2 linked regions of the Astyanax mexicanus genome follow. The protein of the gene in region 2 interacts with the protein of the main gene of each other region in a biochemical or structural test. Links are inferred from orthologs where the notes say so. Each region holds a gene or a part of one and is shown on either strand. Other genes may lie near its edges.

Region 1 (7,507 bases), on a different chromosome or scaffold from region 2:
AGTTGGAACTTGCTGTTCTAAACCCACTTTATCTTTCCGCCAGTTTCACAGCCTGGTTCTTCTATGGCGTCACATTATCAGGACTTCTTTACCTAAAAATCAAGAAACGTGATCTTCCTCGTTCATACACGGTAAGAGATATCATTTTAAATATAGCAAAAAGCCTGTTTAGACCGGGTCACTTCATGTGAATAGTATCTGGACTGTTTTTTAAAGATTTTTAACCACACTTTTTTGCACTTAGCAGTCAGGTGCATTTCCATGCATTTTAAACTGTGATTTTATGTACACTATGTAACTACACAAATGTTAGTTTACAAATTATAATAGTGAAAATACAAGTACAGATTTTATTTTATAAGTTCTCAAATTAAACACAAAAGTACAGATTTTATTTAATAACATCTTGCATTACAAGATATAAGTACAGATTTTATTTTATTTTTAATGTAAGTTTTTACATTAAAAAACACAATATCTTTAAGTTATCAGATCAGGTCTTACAAGTTTGCCAGTTTTCCAACATAATTATCCAGCATAATATATAAATACATCTTGGGTGAATTTACACTTGTATTTTACACTTGTATACTCAAAAAAGTGAGAAGATATAAATGGATTTAAAGATATGGTCTCAAAGATGTAATAAAAGTTGTTTCGCTCTATAATTACATTACATATTATAACAAATAACAGATAATAGAGAAGCAATAGCCAACTGCCTCTTTTTACAACTATCTCAGGTCCCCATTATTATCCCCTTCCTGGTCCTGCTGGCAGCAGTGTTCCTCGTTCTTGCTCCCATCATCGACAACCCTCAGATCGAGTACCTGTACGTGACCCTCTTCATCCTCAGCGGAGTTCTGATTTATGTTCCATTCATTCACTACAAACTGTGTCCCGGATTCCTGAACAAACTCACAGTCTTCCTCCAGCTCTTCCTGGAGGTGGCGCCAGCTGATAAAAACCTGTGAGGTTCCAGGACCTTCTGGTTTGGGAGACATTTCTTGTCCCAACTTTGTAGTAACACTGAACACTGTAGCAGTTAAAAAAAGCTCCATTTTTGCTGTTTTTAATTTTGTTTACATAATATGAATCTGAACGTAGTTCTTTATGTTGTATTAAAATTGTATAATGAATGCAATCCAATTGAAATGCTCCAAAATTTGGAATAACTTGGAATAAAATCTTTTTCCATTGACTTTTATTTCAAGAAGGTTTTGTCCTTTAACTACCATTTAGTTGCCATTTAGGAAATATAGTGTTTTTGCAAGAAGGTGGAGATATATTGAAGTTGAGTTCATAGCAATGAACCTTGATCTAGAAACATTTTGGGGTCATTTAGTTGAGTAGCACTGTTGACCGACTGTAGCAGTAGAAACATTGTGGCACTAGTGAAACTACACATGTCAGATTACACAATGTTTTCTGTTTTCTATTGATAAAATTTGAACTGTTTTTTGATGTCTGCATTTGTGTGTCTCCTTAAATAATCACATTTTAAATAATCACATTTTCACTTAAACATATTAAAAATAACAATGGTGCTCATTATCCAGCACTTAAAATCAAGAATGGCTGGGATGTAAACATATTAAACATCTAAATACTAAAAAACTGGTGCTTGCCATCAGCAGCCGGAGTCCGAGACAAAGAGCACAACTGGCCCTGCTTTTTCTGGGTGGGGAGATGGTGCTCTGTCCCCATATCATTGTCCAGCGGGGTGCTGGCTAGCACAGGTGTCTGATGTAGCTGACGTATCGGAGCTGGGTTGCTTCAATTTCCATGTCCTGGTGTTTGGGACTCACTGGTAATGGGGCAGCACTAGTGATGAGACTGGCTAATTGGCCTTCCAAAAATGGAAAACAATTGGATATAATTTGAAAAATTTAATCATAAAAAATAACTTGTTGCTCAGAAGCAAGAAACACAGATTTACAAATATAAAAGGTGTCTGTTCCATATCTTTGACCTTCTACATTGTTCTATTGTGTGTCCTTCATATACATTTAAATCTACAGTAACTAGTATTGAGCAATGTTTCTCAGCCCTGGTTGTGGAGGCACCCATGCTGTACACGTGCCTGCATCTCTGAAATGACTTGTTAATAAACTTGTCATTTTTATTCTGGTGTGTTGGGAGAAGAGGAAGATTGCATTATTGCATTATCACACATTTGGCCCTCAATTTTTTTTGTTATGTAATGTTATCTAAGAGTTTATGACTATCAGAGATAATAATGATTATGAGCAGCATTTTGCAGTGTCATTTAAAGACAGTGCTGTACTTAAAATCATGTCATCTGCTCTTGAGACTAAGTAGTGGTCTGATTCTTATCTGAGTCTCATTAAATATGCAACACACAATGAATAATAGATTCATTTATTGATTATTTGATTTACATGACATTCTAAGGGGCCATTTGGAATTAGAAGTGTGGATGGAGGCAGACACTTAATGCTCATGCTCTTAATGATTTTAATGTAAGTAAATATGGGATTAGCAGTGGGTGAACATATGGTCAAAACTCTTATTAGTGTGCTTACAGGCATTTATTTAAAAGGCAGAGGTAAATCATTACAAACATTACACTCCAACATATAGGTTTAACTTTTTTATTCCGTATTCTTGGGCAAGACGTATATGATAAAATAATATATCATGATATGGCTTGTTATTATCTCATTAAAACCCTCTTTATCTCTTTAAAACATTAAGATCTAGTCAATGGTGTCTTTGAAGGCAATATATATTTTGGTTAGATCATAAACTTGCCTATAAAAGCATGGCAATACAATACAATTCAGGGTAAATATCTGTGATTTAGGATAACAAAAATAATGGTGTGGTCTTACAGCTAATACTTTTATAGTAGAGGAAAAGCTGACCTGTTGTGGTGTTTGTTTTTTAGCTTTTTAAGAAGACAACTGGGCAATGTCTTTGTAACTAATTTAGTGTAACCTTAATGAGTTAATAACAAAACAAAACTAAAGTGTAAAATAAGGTCATTAGCATAGGTTTTACAGACACAGGTTATATGTATACTCTGCAAATTTAACTTACCAGTATAGGGAATGTTTTCACCTGGATGAACAGCTTTTTGACCATCCTCTAACCATTTGAAACCAGTTTACAGTGGGTTTTTCAACAGGGTTGACTGTAAAAGCAGAAAAATACAGGATAATATCAGAGAAAATACATGTTGTTCCAGATTCCAAAATAAAGGACAATATCTTTTGTATGGCTTTGATTCATTCGGAAGGGAAATGGGCAATGCCCTTATGGCTACGCTAAAGTAACCCTACTATGACAAGAACAGTGTAAAATTAGTCTAAAATAATCAAATTAAAATACATTTTACAGAAGCCAGTAATATTTGTAGTGTTCTAGTATATAACAGCTAGTCTGGTAAACATAGTGTGATAACAGGAAAAAGTATGGGATGAAACATCTCTATTTTACATATAAAACATTTTAGTCTTATTATTTTATTAAATATAGATACTTTGTGGTTTAAAACGACTAGACTACAAAAAACATTTAATCTTAATACATACACTACACATCCCAGCATTCCCACGAACACAGCTGGCGCCTTCCATATCCGTCCACATCCGCATTTATGTGACCCCTGTAGCCAATCGTAACGCAGGAGGGCGGGGTCTGTCGGAAAACGCGTGGAAAACAGTCTATGATAATAAAAGGTGGCTATATTATGTGTAATATTGTGTAGCTGGCTGCTTATTATGTTTAACGAATATGTTATGTATAATAAAGTATTTATGTTTATTTACACTGATCTAAAAGGGCATTATAATATGTATAAAAATAAAATGTGATAGAAGTAAACTTCCAATCCCAGTTTAACTATTATGTTATTTGTACTTGTGTATATCATTTATACACAATATTTCACAGATTTATTTTAGTAAGTAAATCTGGAGCTACATATTTATTTAAATTAGTGTATTATAATTCTGGGTAAAAATTATATTCAGAAAGGTAAATTGAAAAATGCAGTTTTTTTTTGTTTATTTGTGATGTTACTAAATTCCTTCAAAGTATATCTTATATGTAGGAACCCTAACAAATATACTCATATATAAATATTTTCTTTATAATCAGAATTTAATTTTAAATTAATTTGAAGTGGCCATCTAAATCAGCACAGCATAGACTTATTGTTAAATACCAATAATAGTTTACTTTATTAGGAGTATTTTTTTACTTTTGATTATACTTGTTTTTTCCCATTTGTTATACTGCGATTTGTGTCAATATAAATTAAAATTAGGGAAAAATCAAAGTATTTTCATTTATTTAAAAAAAAAAAAAACGTTTCCCAGGTCCTCGTGGTGAGCGAGAACAGTCACACCCCTGATCACGAGGGTGCCAATCAGAGCCGGAGAGAAAAACCATGAGGTAATCCCTCGGCCTGCCATTGGAGGGCTATATTAAGAAAGCGGCGAGGCGCTTTATAAGGAACTCTGTGCTCTGAAATCCTGAGAACTGAACAGTGAGAGGCTGAGGTGGTGAGCTGCTGTGTCTGAAGTGAGAGGAGCTACTTTATAAGCTGGAGATCCTGAATAAGCTACACAGTCTCAGCTGGAGATACTGAAGAAGCAACACAGCCTCAGCCTGGACACTTTTCTAACTGTGTATTTCATTTGATCCTGTTTTAATAAGGATTTTCAGAGTTTTAATCCGTGCGTAAAAGCAGCGAGGACACACCGAGCACATGGCTGCTATCCGTAAGAAGCTGGTGGTGGTGGGGGACGGGGCGTGCGGTAAGACGTGTCTGCTCATCGTCTTCAGCAAGGATGAGTTCCCTGAGGTCTACGTGCCCACCGTCTTCGAGAACTACGTGGCTGACATCGAGGTGGACAGCAAGCAGGTGGAGCTGGCGCTGTGGGACACGGCCGGCCAGGAGGACTACGACCGCCTGCGCCCCCTTTCCTATCCGGACACGGACGTGATCCTCATGTGCTTCTCCGTGGACAGCCCGGACTCTCTGGAGAACATCCCGGAGAAGTGGGTGCCTGAGGTCAAGCACTTCTGTCCCAACGTGCCCATCATCTTGGTGGCCAACAAGAAGGATCTGCGCAACGACGAGAGCGTGCGCGGCGAGCTGGCGCGCATGAAGCAGGAGCCGGTGCGCGCTGAGGACGGCCGCGCCATGGCCGTGCGCATCGGTGCCTACGACTACCTGGAGTGCTCGGCTAAGACCAAGGACGGCGTACGGGAGGTGTTTGAGACTGCCACGCGTGCTGCGCTCCAGAAGAGGTCCAGGCCGGCTGGTGGCTGCGCGAACTGCTGCAAGCTCTTGTGAACTCATGTAAACTTCTGTGAAATCATGTGAGCTCCTGTACGAACTCCTACGAGAAGAGGACATGGTTCCCCAGACAAGAAACGAAACATGCTAATGTGGGGCTCACTTAGGTGGAACATGGTCTAGGTGGGTTCCAATTGAGTTCCAGTTGGGTTCCAGGTCGGTTCTAAATGGGCATGGGCTCTGAGTGGGTTTGTACTTGTGTTCTAACGACTAGTTGGGCTTCCCATCTAGGGGTTCCATCTAGGCCCTATATTTGTGTGTGTGTGCAAGGTACAAACCAGGTGGGGCCTATGTTGACTCCCATGTTTAAACTCCTCCTGGTCCCATCAGTGACACTGACTGACTCCATGCCTTGTGGAGCCAACATGGACAAACCCATGGACAGAACTTTCTAAAAGGACCCAGTTGACTTGTTGACCCAGCCTGGAGTCTAGTTCTTTACTCATGGACAAGTTGGGTGGGGGGGGTGTTTGGAGAGATGAGGGGGGAGGGGTTTGAAGTGTCCCTTGATGCCCTCCCTGCACCAACACTAAAAAGTAGAGAAAGAAGGAAAAGAATGGACACAGAACAGTGAGAGAGAGAGAGAGAGAGAGAGGGGATGGTAGGGGGCTTGTGAACCCTCAACTTTGTATCTCTCTCTGTGTTTGTGTGTCTCTCTATCTTGCTCTCTTTTTTTCTCTCTTTTGCTTTGTTGTTTTGGTGCTGTGTGGCAGCCGAAAAAGACACAGGCACTATACTATTCACACTGCAAGTACTACTACCACCACCACCAACAACAACAACAGCATGCTCTGGATAATGCATGCATGGGTGGGTCTGGGTGGTTGGGTAGCTTGGGCACAATATCTGCTGCTGCTGCTGCCACACAGAACAAAGTACAGAACAATGTAACTTATAGGCTTAACACTGTATACAGCCTTGCCTTGTTTATATGACACATGCATAGGGCTCTGTATTTTGTTTTTTGGGGATTTTTTTAAATGAGAGAAATGAGAAGAAAAAGAATATGCCTTGCCACTGCATTGAGGTGGTCTTTGGGATGTACACTGGGATGACCCTCAAAAAAAAAGAACAGGAGGAGACTTGTACAAAATGCTAGCTTTCTAGTCAGCTGCCAGCTGTGGTGAGACTGCAGTGCGAGCAGGGCAGCTGTGCTTTTGTTGCACAGTGAGAGACTTGATGCAGCACTAAGAAGGGGGATGGAGGGGTGGGGGATGGGTGCAAGTGGTCAGTCAGTGTGTTCCGGGACTGTGTATTGTGCTGTTGCAAAAGTCACCTCGATTCATTGTATGCACACACATTTACAACACACATACATACGTACATACATGCCCACACCATGAAATGTTAAAGTGTGGGCCCATGCTGGTGAATCTGCATGCTTAAATAGCCCAGCATTGTCTGAATCTCCGTTTGTTGTTTCCATTCTTGTTGCACTGGGTGCCCGTGCAGTCTGCTACCCCACCCTAGCGCTCGGTAAACTCGTACGCAGCCCCTCTGCTCGAGCACCAACAATGAAGTTTGTCACGATTGCACTGATGGGATTATGGGAGCTGCTTTTGTTGATTTGGGGTGTATAGGGCTCGGCTGGGATTGGCTGGGTTGGGGTGTGGGCCCTTTTCTGCTTTGGCTCAGCTCTGGGTTAGCGTGACACACTACGCACACCCTCTGTTACAGAGGCGGCCTATGAAGTTCAGCTCTGAAGCTCTGTACATTTTCTGTTTTGTTGTTTTTAGGACTTTTATATGTCTTTAAGCCTGTGGTACCACTGCATTAACTTCAGACTGACCTGGGTCAGCTCTGAGGCGTTGGCTGTCATGTTTACAGTAACCCAGCAATGAACAGAAAAAATAAAATAAATATTCAATTGCAATACAAGTATGTGTCTTGTGTTTATGTACAAGTGTCAAATATGTGCCTTTAAGCAATATTGCACTGGTTCTGGTACTGGTTTAGCTGTGGTTTCATGTGTATTACACTAGTAGATAATGAAAGGGATTGAAAAGGGCAGTACGGGTGGGGTCTGCTCACACTCAGCTCCGCTGCCTCATGGTCCTACTGCCTCCAGCACAACAGCAGGCTTTGTTCATCTCCACTAGTATCTTTTCTACTCTTTAAAGTAAATTTATTTTGTTGTGTTGTATATATTATGAAAAAGATTACTTGGCTTTTGAC
Region 2 (7,602 bases):
GCCTCTCCACAGTAACCACAAACCAATTTGGACAGCCACCACCCGTAGCACAGAAAAACACCTATAAAACAACCACTATATCTGACTGACATTTGCTAACTCAAAAACCCCACAGTTTATTGTTTTACATGAGCGTGCTCAACCTTTGGTAGCTAAAACACACACAAATGTTAAATGTCACATCGTCCTAAATATTAAGACATACACATTATACAGCTCTGGAAAAAAATTAGAGACCACTTAAAATGATGAGTTTCTTTGATTTTACAAAAATGAAAACCTCTAGAATATAATCAAGATAAAGATGGATGACCACAAGCCATCAAAACCAAGCTGAACTGCTTGAATTTTTGCACCAGAAGTGGCATAAAGTTATTCAAAAGCAGTGTGTAAGACTGGTGGAGGAGAAAATGCTGAGATACATGAAAACTGTTAATTAAATCCAGAGTTATTCCACCAAATATTGATTTCTGAACTCCTAAAACTTTATCAATATGAACTTGTTTTCTTTGCATTATTTGAGGTCTGAAAGCTCTGCATCTTTCTTTGTTATTTCAGCTGTTTCTCATTTCTCATTTTCTGCAAATAAATGCTCTAAATGATAATAGTTTTATTTGGAATTTGGGAGAAATGTTGTCCGTAGTTTCTAGAACAAAACAACAATGTTCATTTTACTCAAACATAAACCTATAAATAGCTAAATCAGAGAAACTGATTCAGCACATTTGATTGTTTTTATCAATATAAAAGTATTGATTCAAGTATAAAATTATCACACTTGATTGTTCTGATCTATATATTCAGTATTTAAGTAGTGTACTTAGGACATGTTACTGCTACAAGTACCACAGCTTGTATAATTGCTTTATTTGACCCTTGTGTTGGATATAGTGGATGGATAGTATTTAAGTCATGTAATATCAGTATATAATCGCTGATATAATTTCTTCATAAACACCAAGTTCCAAATTATTATGCAACTGATGATTTTCTTAGATTTTCCTAAATGGTAAATGCAAACGACGGTCAGTGTTTTTTCAAGTCATGACTCCTTAAGTATAAATCCAATTTTATTGAACAAACCTCCCAATGATAATAGGACTCCATCCATCTGAACCATCCAGGGTTGCATGGCATTCATCTGTGAAAATTAATCTTCTAGTATGTCCAGGCCCACTGCAACCACTGCACCTGCTTGTGAGCTCTGCTTAGGGGTGGCCGAATCGTAGGTTTATGCACAACTGCATGCCTCTGGAGGATCCTACACCTTGAGGTTCACGAGACTCCAGCTGCACCAGCAGCTTCAAATAGCTGTTTGCTGGTTTGTAATTGCATTTTAGCAGCTGCTCTCTTAATCCGATTAATTTGTCTGGCAGAAATCTTCCTCATTTTAGCTGTCTGTGCTCTAAATCAGCCACAAATCTCTTCAAAGTACGGTGATCATGCTTCAGTTTTTATGAAATATCTAATGGCCTCATACCTTGTCCGAGGCACCTCACTTTTTACCGCTTTTCAGCAGCAGTGAGATCTTTTTTCTTTTCCATATTGCTTGAAACCTGTGGCCTGTTTCATAATGTGGAACAGTGCATTTTGAGTTTTTTTATTTTAAAAAAAGAAATACACTTATCTTGGGAGGTTTGTTCAATAAAATTGAATTTATACTTAATGAGTCATTTGCATGGAACATTAGGGAAAATCTATGAAAAATATCACTTTTTATTCCCATGGTGGGCTTACTTCTTGACCCCCCTACCTCTTACCTATTCATGGCTCAGGTGTTGAGTGTTACTGACTCTATGCTGATGGGAAATAAGACCAAACTACTTATGTGTTCATCATTTACACACCAAACTCAAGTCACTGTGAACTCCAAGCAAACTGATAAGCCCAGACTCAGGCCATGACTGCTGCTTCTGTTCGCCTGTTTAGTTTCATTGAGTGGTTAAATGTCGCAATCAATCTGTTAATCCAAATCTTACGATCACAGAAGTTCCTAAAAGCTTACAGATGAACTGGCGTTCCGCGGCCCACTAATCCGGTTCCTGTGAATGTTTAAGCATTTAGCACACACACACAAACACACACACACTGCAGACTTAGTGTGTAGTAACATGGCACTGAGTGTTTCCCTGTGTACAGTCGCACTGCCAAGACATTTCCATCCCAGCCAAAACTGTACGATAAGATGAGTTAAGCACCCAGAAGAGCCCATGTTTAATACTGATCTAACATTCAGTGCCACTCTACAGAACAGCAACAGGGTGTTTCAGTGTTTGGTGGTACAATAGTACAGTAATTGTGCTCTAGGCTTGTCACAATACTTAAATTTCCAATGTATTGTACAATATATGACTAATTATTTTGCAGTTTTTCTTTAAAAAGACTAGAAATACTCATTTTATAAAGAAAACACAGGATGATTATGCAGCTAAAATGGATTGAGGATGAGAAAAGGACAAACAGATGAGTGCAGGTTAGTTTGGGTCACTATGGCTGTGGATTAGAGCTTGGTTACCTGCTTTGTTGGAGTTCAAGAGGTTTGGTGGCTGCAGGGACACTACAACCATATGGCTTGTGTGGGAAAAATGAATAGCAGCAGAATTAGAATAAGGAGGGATGAAAAAAATAAAAATAGACAAGTGCAGGTCTATTTGTGCAGCACTGAAATGAACTGAACTGTGTATCTATTGTGCAAAAATACTGTAGATATTCATGTATTTTTGCACCCTATTTCTTCTAAATGAACAGATTTAGTGCTAAGAAAATGGAATAATAAGAAGCATGTAAATTGCACAACAAATAGTCCAGATTAATTTAGCTAGCTATCTCAAATAATCCCTGCCTTCATAACCCTTGAATGTGAAAATGATTAAAAATGCCCGTTCCCACTATGCTAGTAGTGATGAAAAATTATCCAGCTATGGTTAGCGAACCTTACAGAAGCTCAGTGATTACCTGTTTAGGAGAGAAAAATAGCCCGGCACACAGAACACCCATTTACAAGCCTGCAGTCCACAGTTTGCCTGCTATTGTGTTCTATAGCTGACAACCCAGTGTGTGGAAATGGGACGGGGGGTGGTGGTGGGCAGGTACGGTGGCTTTCCTAACAATACATAAACTTAACATGTTTCCTTAATAAAAGATGGTACTGATCATTCTAATCATATGAGTTACTACATGCATTACTACAGAAAATATCATCCTTAATGGTCCTTTAAAATGATTATTTTTTTATTATTTCAGGTACATTTTATAAACAAAAGCAGGAATCCTGACTCTGTAGGAACTGTGCTCCGTAGTAAAATCCTCACTACATTTGGTGGCTTGTGTCTGAGGTGTCTGAGGCAGTGTGAGTGTCCTCAGCTGACCCAACAACGTCTGTGAATTTGCTTCTTGGGAACAGCATTACAGAGCTCTTGTGCTTCCAGATCATTCAGTAATTCCCTTCCCTTCAGCTCATTTCTCTAAGCGTACATTCATTATCTTGAATTTAGTTGTTAAAAACTGATTGAATCTAAAGGTCTCTGATATTTTCCTCTTTGATCTGAACACAGATTAACATTATATCATCCCATTACATTTACTAATGGCAGGTGTAGGCAAGCAGAAAACAGGGCCGTTCAAGCCAAGGTACAAACTATATATGTAAATGTTCTTTCAGAGGTACAACAATGTCCTTAAGGTACAAACTGTAATCCTTAATCGAGTTAAGAAGGTACAATGTATTTATTTTCCCTATGGAAAGGAGTGTAAATTAAATCACAAAAACAAAAGCCTGGCAGAAAAACAGGGCACCTTAAAGGATTTGTAATGGAATTATATTATCCAGCTTACCTGGACTGATTGGGCACAGTGCAGCAGGGACATCCCTGTACAGGGTGCCAGTCCATCACAGCATGGCCTGTTTACCTACCACATTGTCACGTTATTTTAAATCAATTGTTACCAGTCAAGATATAAGATTCTGATAATGTGATTTTTTTTTTTCTTAAAAAAAAAAACTATTTGTTTGGTGAGAGAGACCGTTTAATTTTGTGAGTATGAAATTTCCATTATACAGCTCTGGAACAACCACTTCAGTTTCTGAATCAATTTCTCTAATTTTGCTATTTATAGATATATCTTTGAGTAAAATGAACATTGTTGTTTTATTCTATACACTACTGACAACATTTCCAAATAAAAAATACTGTAATTTAGTGCATATATTTGCACAAACTGAAAAATGGCTGAAATAGCAAAAAAAAGAGGCAGAACTTTCAGACTTTAAATAATGCAAAGAAAAAAATCATATTCATGTTCGTAAAGTTTTAAGAGCTCAGAAATCAATATTTGGTGGAATAGTTTTCATGAATCTTGGCATGTTCTCCTCCACCAGTCTTACACACTGCTTTTGGATAACGTTTTGCCACTCTTGGTGAAAAACTGTATATCAGAAAAAATATTGTAAGAAACACGCACGCTCCCCTACTGTAGTTACCTACTCTGAAAAGCCGAAGCGGCGCGGCCACGCGCTTCCTGTGGGCGAGCACGTACTCGCCGTAGTGGAGTGACGTCAGGACGCCGTTGAGCTCGAAAATGTTAGCGTATGTAGTTAAATCTGGAGGCGACGGGAGGAATCGTTAGACGGAAATAATATCAATTTTCCGCCGAGAAACGCCCGAACAAACGCCGCACTCCTGGATTGAGCGGCTTTAACCGCGGGCTGGGCTTCGGGTGAGCGCCTGGGGACTCTGCTGGAGGAAGTTTGGGCGATATTTTCGAGGAGGGATGTCGAACCCGGGGACTCGGAGGAACGGGTCAAGCATTAAGATCAGACTGACAGGTAAAGCGCTTCGGCGGGGAGCTGCGGGTGTGCGGGGTTCGGCTCTACGGGGTTTATTTGACGGCAGTTTGTGTATAAAAAGGCTACAGTTGGTCGTGTCGTGCTTCGTGGGCTGCTGAGTAACCTAAATGGCTCTCTAACTGAATCCCTAACATATCCGGCTAGCGGCTAACATAGCGGCTAATGCGGGCTAGCGGGCAGGCTGAGCCCGGCTTCAGACGGACGGGGAGCGAGCGTTAGGTTAGGTTAGCTAACTAGCTTAGCATAGCTACGGTTAGCTTAGCTAGGTTCGCTAACGTTAACTGGCTGTTGGTAAGGAGATCAGATGGTTGGGGTCGGTCTGCAGGCTTACTGAGTGATTTAATTCGATAATATGATTAATATTAATTTATATCATGTGGTTTATAATGTGTAAGTTAATTTGTTTAGCGCGTTAAACTCTTAAACAGTATAGTAGGGTTGAATTCGCTGCTCCCAGTCTGGAAAAACGGTCGCTCTTTTATCAGCTAGCCGCTGAGATGAGCTGAGTTTGGCTGCCTGGTACTTACGGCGATTTCTCACCGATTTAAGTAGTTAGTTTGTTAACTATATTAGTCGAGTGTTAAGTTTTAAACAAGGTTAACTTAGCTGTTTCAGTTATTCAGCTTGGTTTGTGGATAAAAGCAGTGTGTAAGACTGGTGGAGGAGAACATGCTAAGAGGCATGAAAACTGTGACTAAAAAACAGGGTTATTCCACCAAATATTAATTTCTGAGCTTCTAAACCTTTATGAATATGAATATATATAACTTGTTTACTTTGCGTTTCTGCCAATAAATGCTCTAAATGATTATATTTTTATTTGGAATTTGGGAGAAATGTTGTCTGTCGTTTAAAGAGTAAAACAACAATGTTCATTTTACTCAAACATATAAATAGCAAAATCAGACAAACTGATTCAGAAACGTATTTGTCTCTAATTTATATTTCTCTCTCTAGTTTAACTAAAAACCGTTAGTTATAGTTATTCAGCTTGGTTATGGATAATAGTCATGCAATTTAGCAGCTTGCAGAGCAGCTTCTAGATAGTGATATTACTGTTGGTTTAAACGTGAGTGTAAAATTGCACTCTGCAAGTAAGCAAGAGCTTTGTATTAAAGTTGCTCTAAGCTCTAGGTCCTCACTCAAGAAAGCACAAAGAAAAGATCTGCAACATCCAACATTTTGTTATCAGCTTTTTTTTTTTTAAGTTGCTGAAAGTTACAAATATTCAGCAAAACAAAGTGCTCCGTTTAAGTCCTGTTTAAGTGATGTATATAGAGGCACATCCTTTATTCCTCTACCTTTTGCTTTAGGAAGGTCTAAAAATGTTAAATACATTAAAATTCTAGCAGAGACATGATGCAACATTTGTCCAGGGCTATTCTAGAAGTATTGTGATCCAGTGTTTTCTTCCACCCCTAAAAATGACATTATCATGTTTGTACTAAGGTTGCTGAAAGTTACAGACACTCAGTAAAGCAGTGTGTCTCCAGGAAGTCAACTTAAAAAAAAAAGTCAGAATCATTAAGGAGCCTGATGTCTAGGGTTTAGCCAGATTAAGAACAGTGGAAATGGTGTCTCCTCTTCTCTGGGTTGTTTATAGCACTATTGTCAAGGCCACAAGAGAGTCATACTGTCTTTGCTCCCATCTTTCCAAGAATTTGGCATTTATGTTTTGAGAATTTGAGCGTTAGATTGAACACAAACAAAGTAATTTGAAGATTTTCGGGGGCAGTTTACCAAACAGGCATTAAGCCTAGTCTTGGACTGCACAGCATTTAAATAGAGATTTTTCATTGACAGGAAAAAAATATTGTAGGCTTTTGCTTTATTCTTTTCTGGGAAACTGATCTGTACTGATCTAGTGAAGATGGAATGGTTTTACTGACTCTGTCTGTGGTTGCTTTTGAGTATGCAGCCACATTTATGAGCTTTGATTACAGTTAAAAGACTAACTGAAAGTTACACTCGACAATGCTGACTTTTTTATAATCCAGTCGTGCATTATGTTTAAGTAATGGATCTAGTGGAAAACCCCTTATTTCTCTTTCCCTTTTGTTTTGATGGGGATAACAAAGTGCTATCTAGGGTTTCACCACTTTAAGAAAAGTGCAAGCTGTGAGGCTGCTGTTCTTTTACCAGATTGCCTAAAACACTTTTCTTTAGGGCCACATTAGAGCTGTACTGACTTTTTAGTTGTGATAGGATTAGCTACATTTTAGGAGAGTTTAGCCCTATATAGCCCAGTAGGTTTAAACCAAACATAAAATTTCATGATGAAAAAATTTCTGTTTATGTTGCTAAAAGTTACAGACACTCAACAAAGCAATGTACTCCAGTGTCCAATTGAACATTACGTTTATCAAGTAATCAGGGTCTAAAATGTCATAAACCCTAAAGATCAGGATATCTCTTGGGGTTTAGCCAGATTAAGAACAGTGGAAGCTGTGACTGCTGTTCTCTAGACCGCTTATAACACTTTTCTCAAGTCTAAGTCTGAGCTGTACTGTCTTTGCTTACATCATTTCATAGAATTTAGTCATGAATGGGAGTTCTGCTGTATGAGAGCATAGCAGTGAATCTTACTAAATCACTGTAGGGTAAACCTGAACATTCAATTTCATTGGAAGCTTTCTGTTAGTCACATGAAGTTATAGACACTCAACAAAGCCCAAATATCCAGTTAAACGTAATTTTAAATTGACGAAACAAATGTTAGATAAATTAAGGAACATGATGTCTAGGGATCAGTCAGA

The links.
Region 1: the proteins of smurf1 (region 2) and rho-related GTP-binding protein RhoB form a complex in vitro, tested with the Homo sapiens proteins (2 studies listed by BioGRID and IntAct, with this or other methods). The link is inferred for Astyanax mexicanus from reciprocal best matches to the Homo sapiens genes SMURF1 and RHOB.

Annotation. Positions count from the first base shown.
Region 1 is NC_064421.1:13,264,877-13,272,383, forward strand, and holds rho-related GTP-binding protein RhoB, read left to right. Parts: upstream 1-4,479; 5' UTR 4,480-4,738; coding exon 4,739-5,329; 3' UTR 5,330-7,210; downstream 7,211-7,507. Other genes in the region: zmp:0000001267 (b(0,+)-type amino acid transporter 1), read left to right, coding at 44-131, 744-974. UniProt on the Homo sapiens protein: Mediates apoptosis in neoplastically transformed cells after DNA damage. Not essential for development but affects cell adhesion and growth factor signaling in transformed cells. Plays a negative role in tumorigenesis as deletion causes tumor formation.
Region 2 is NC_064410.1:54,769,698-54,777,299, reverse strand, and holds the start of smurf1 (E3 ubiquitin-protein ligase SMURF1), read left to right. Parts: upstream 1-4,557; 5' UTR 4,558-4,770; coding exon 4,771-4,825; intron 4,826-7,602. UniProt on the Homo sapiens protein: E3 ubiquitin-protein ligase that acts as a negative regulator of BMP signaling pathway. Mediates ubiquitination and degradation of SMAD1 and SMAD5, 2 receptor-regulated SMADs specific for the BMP pathway.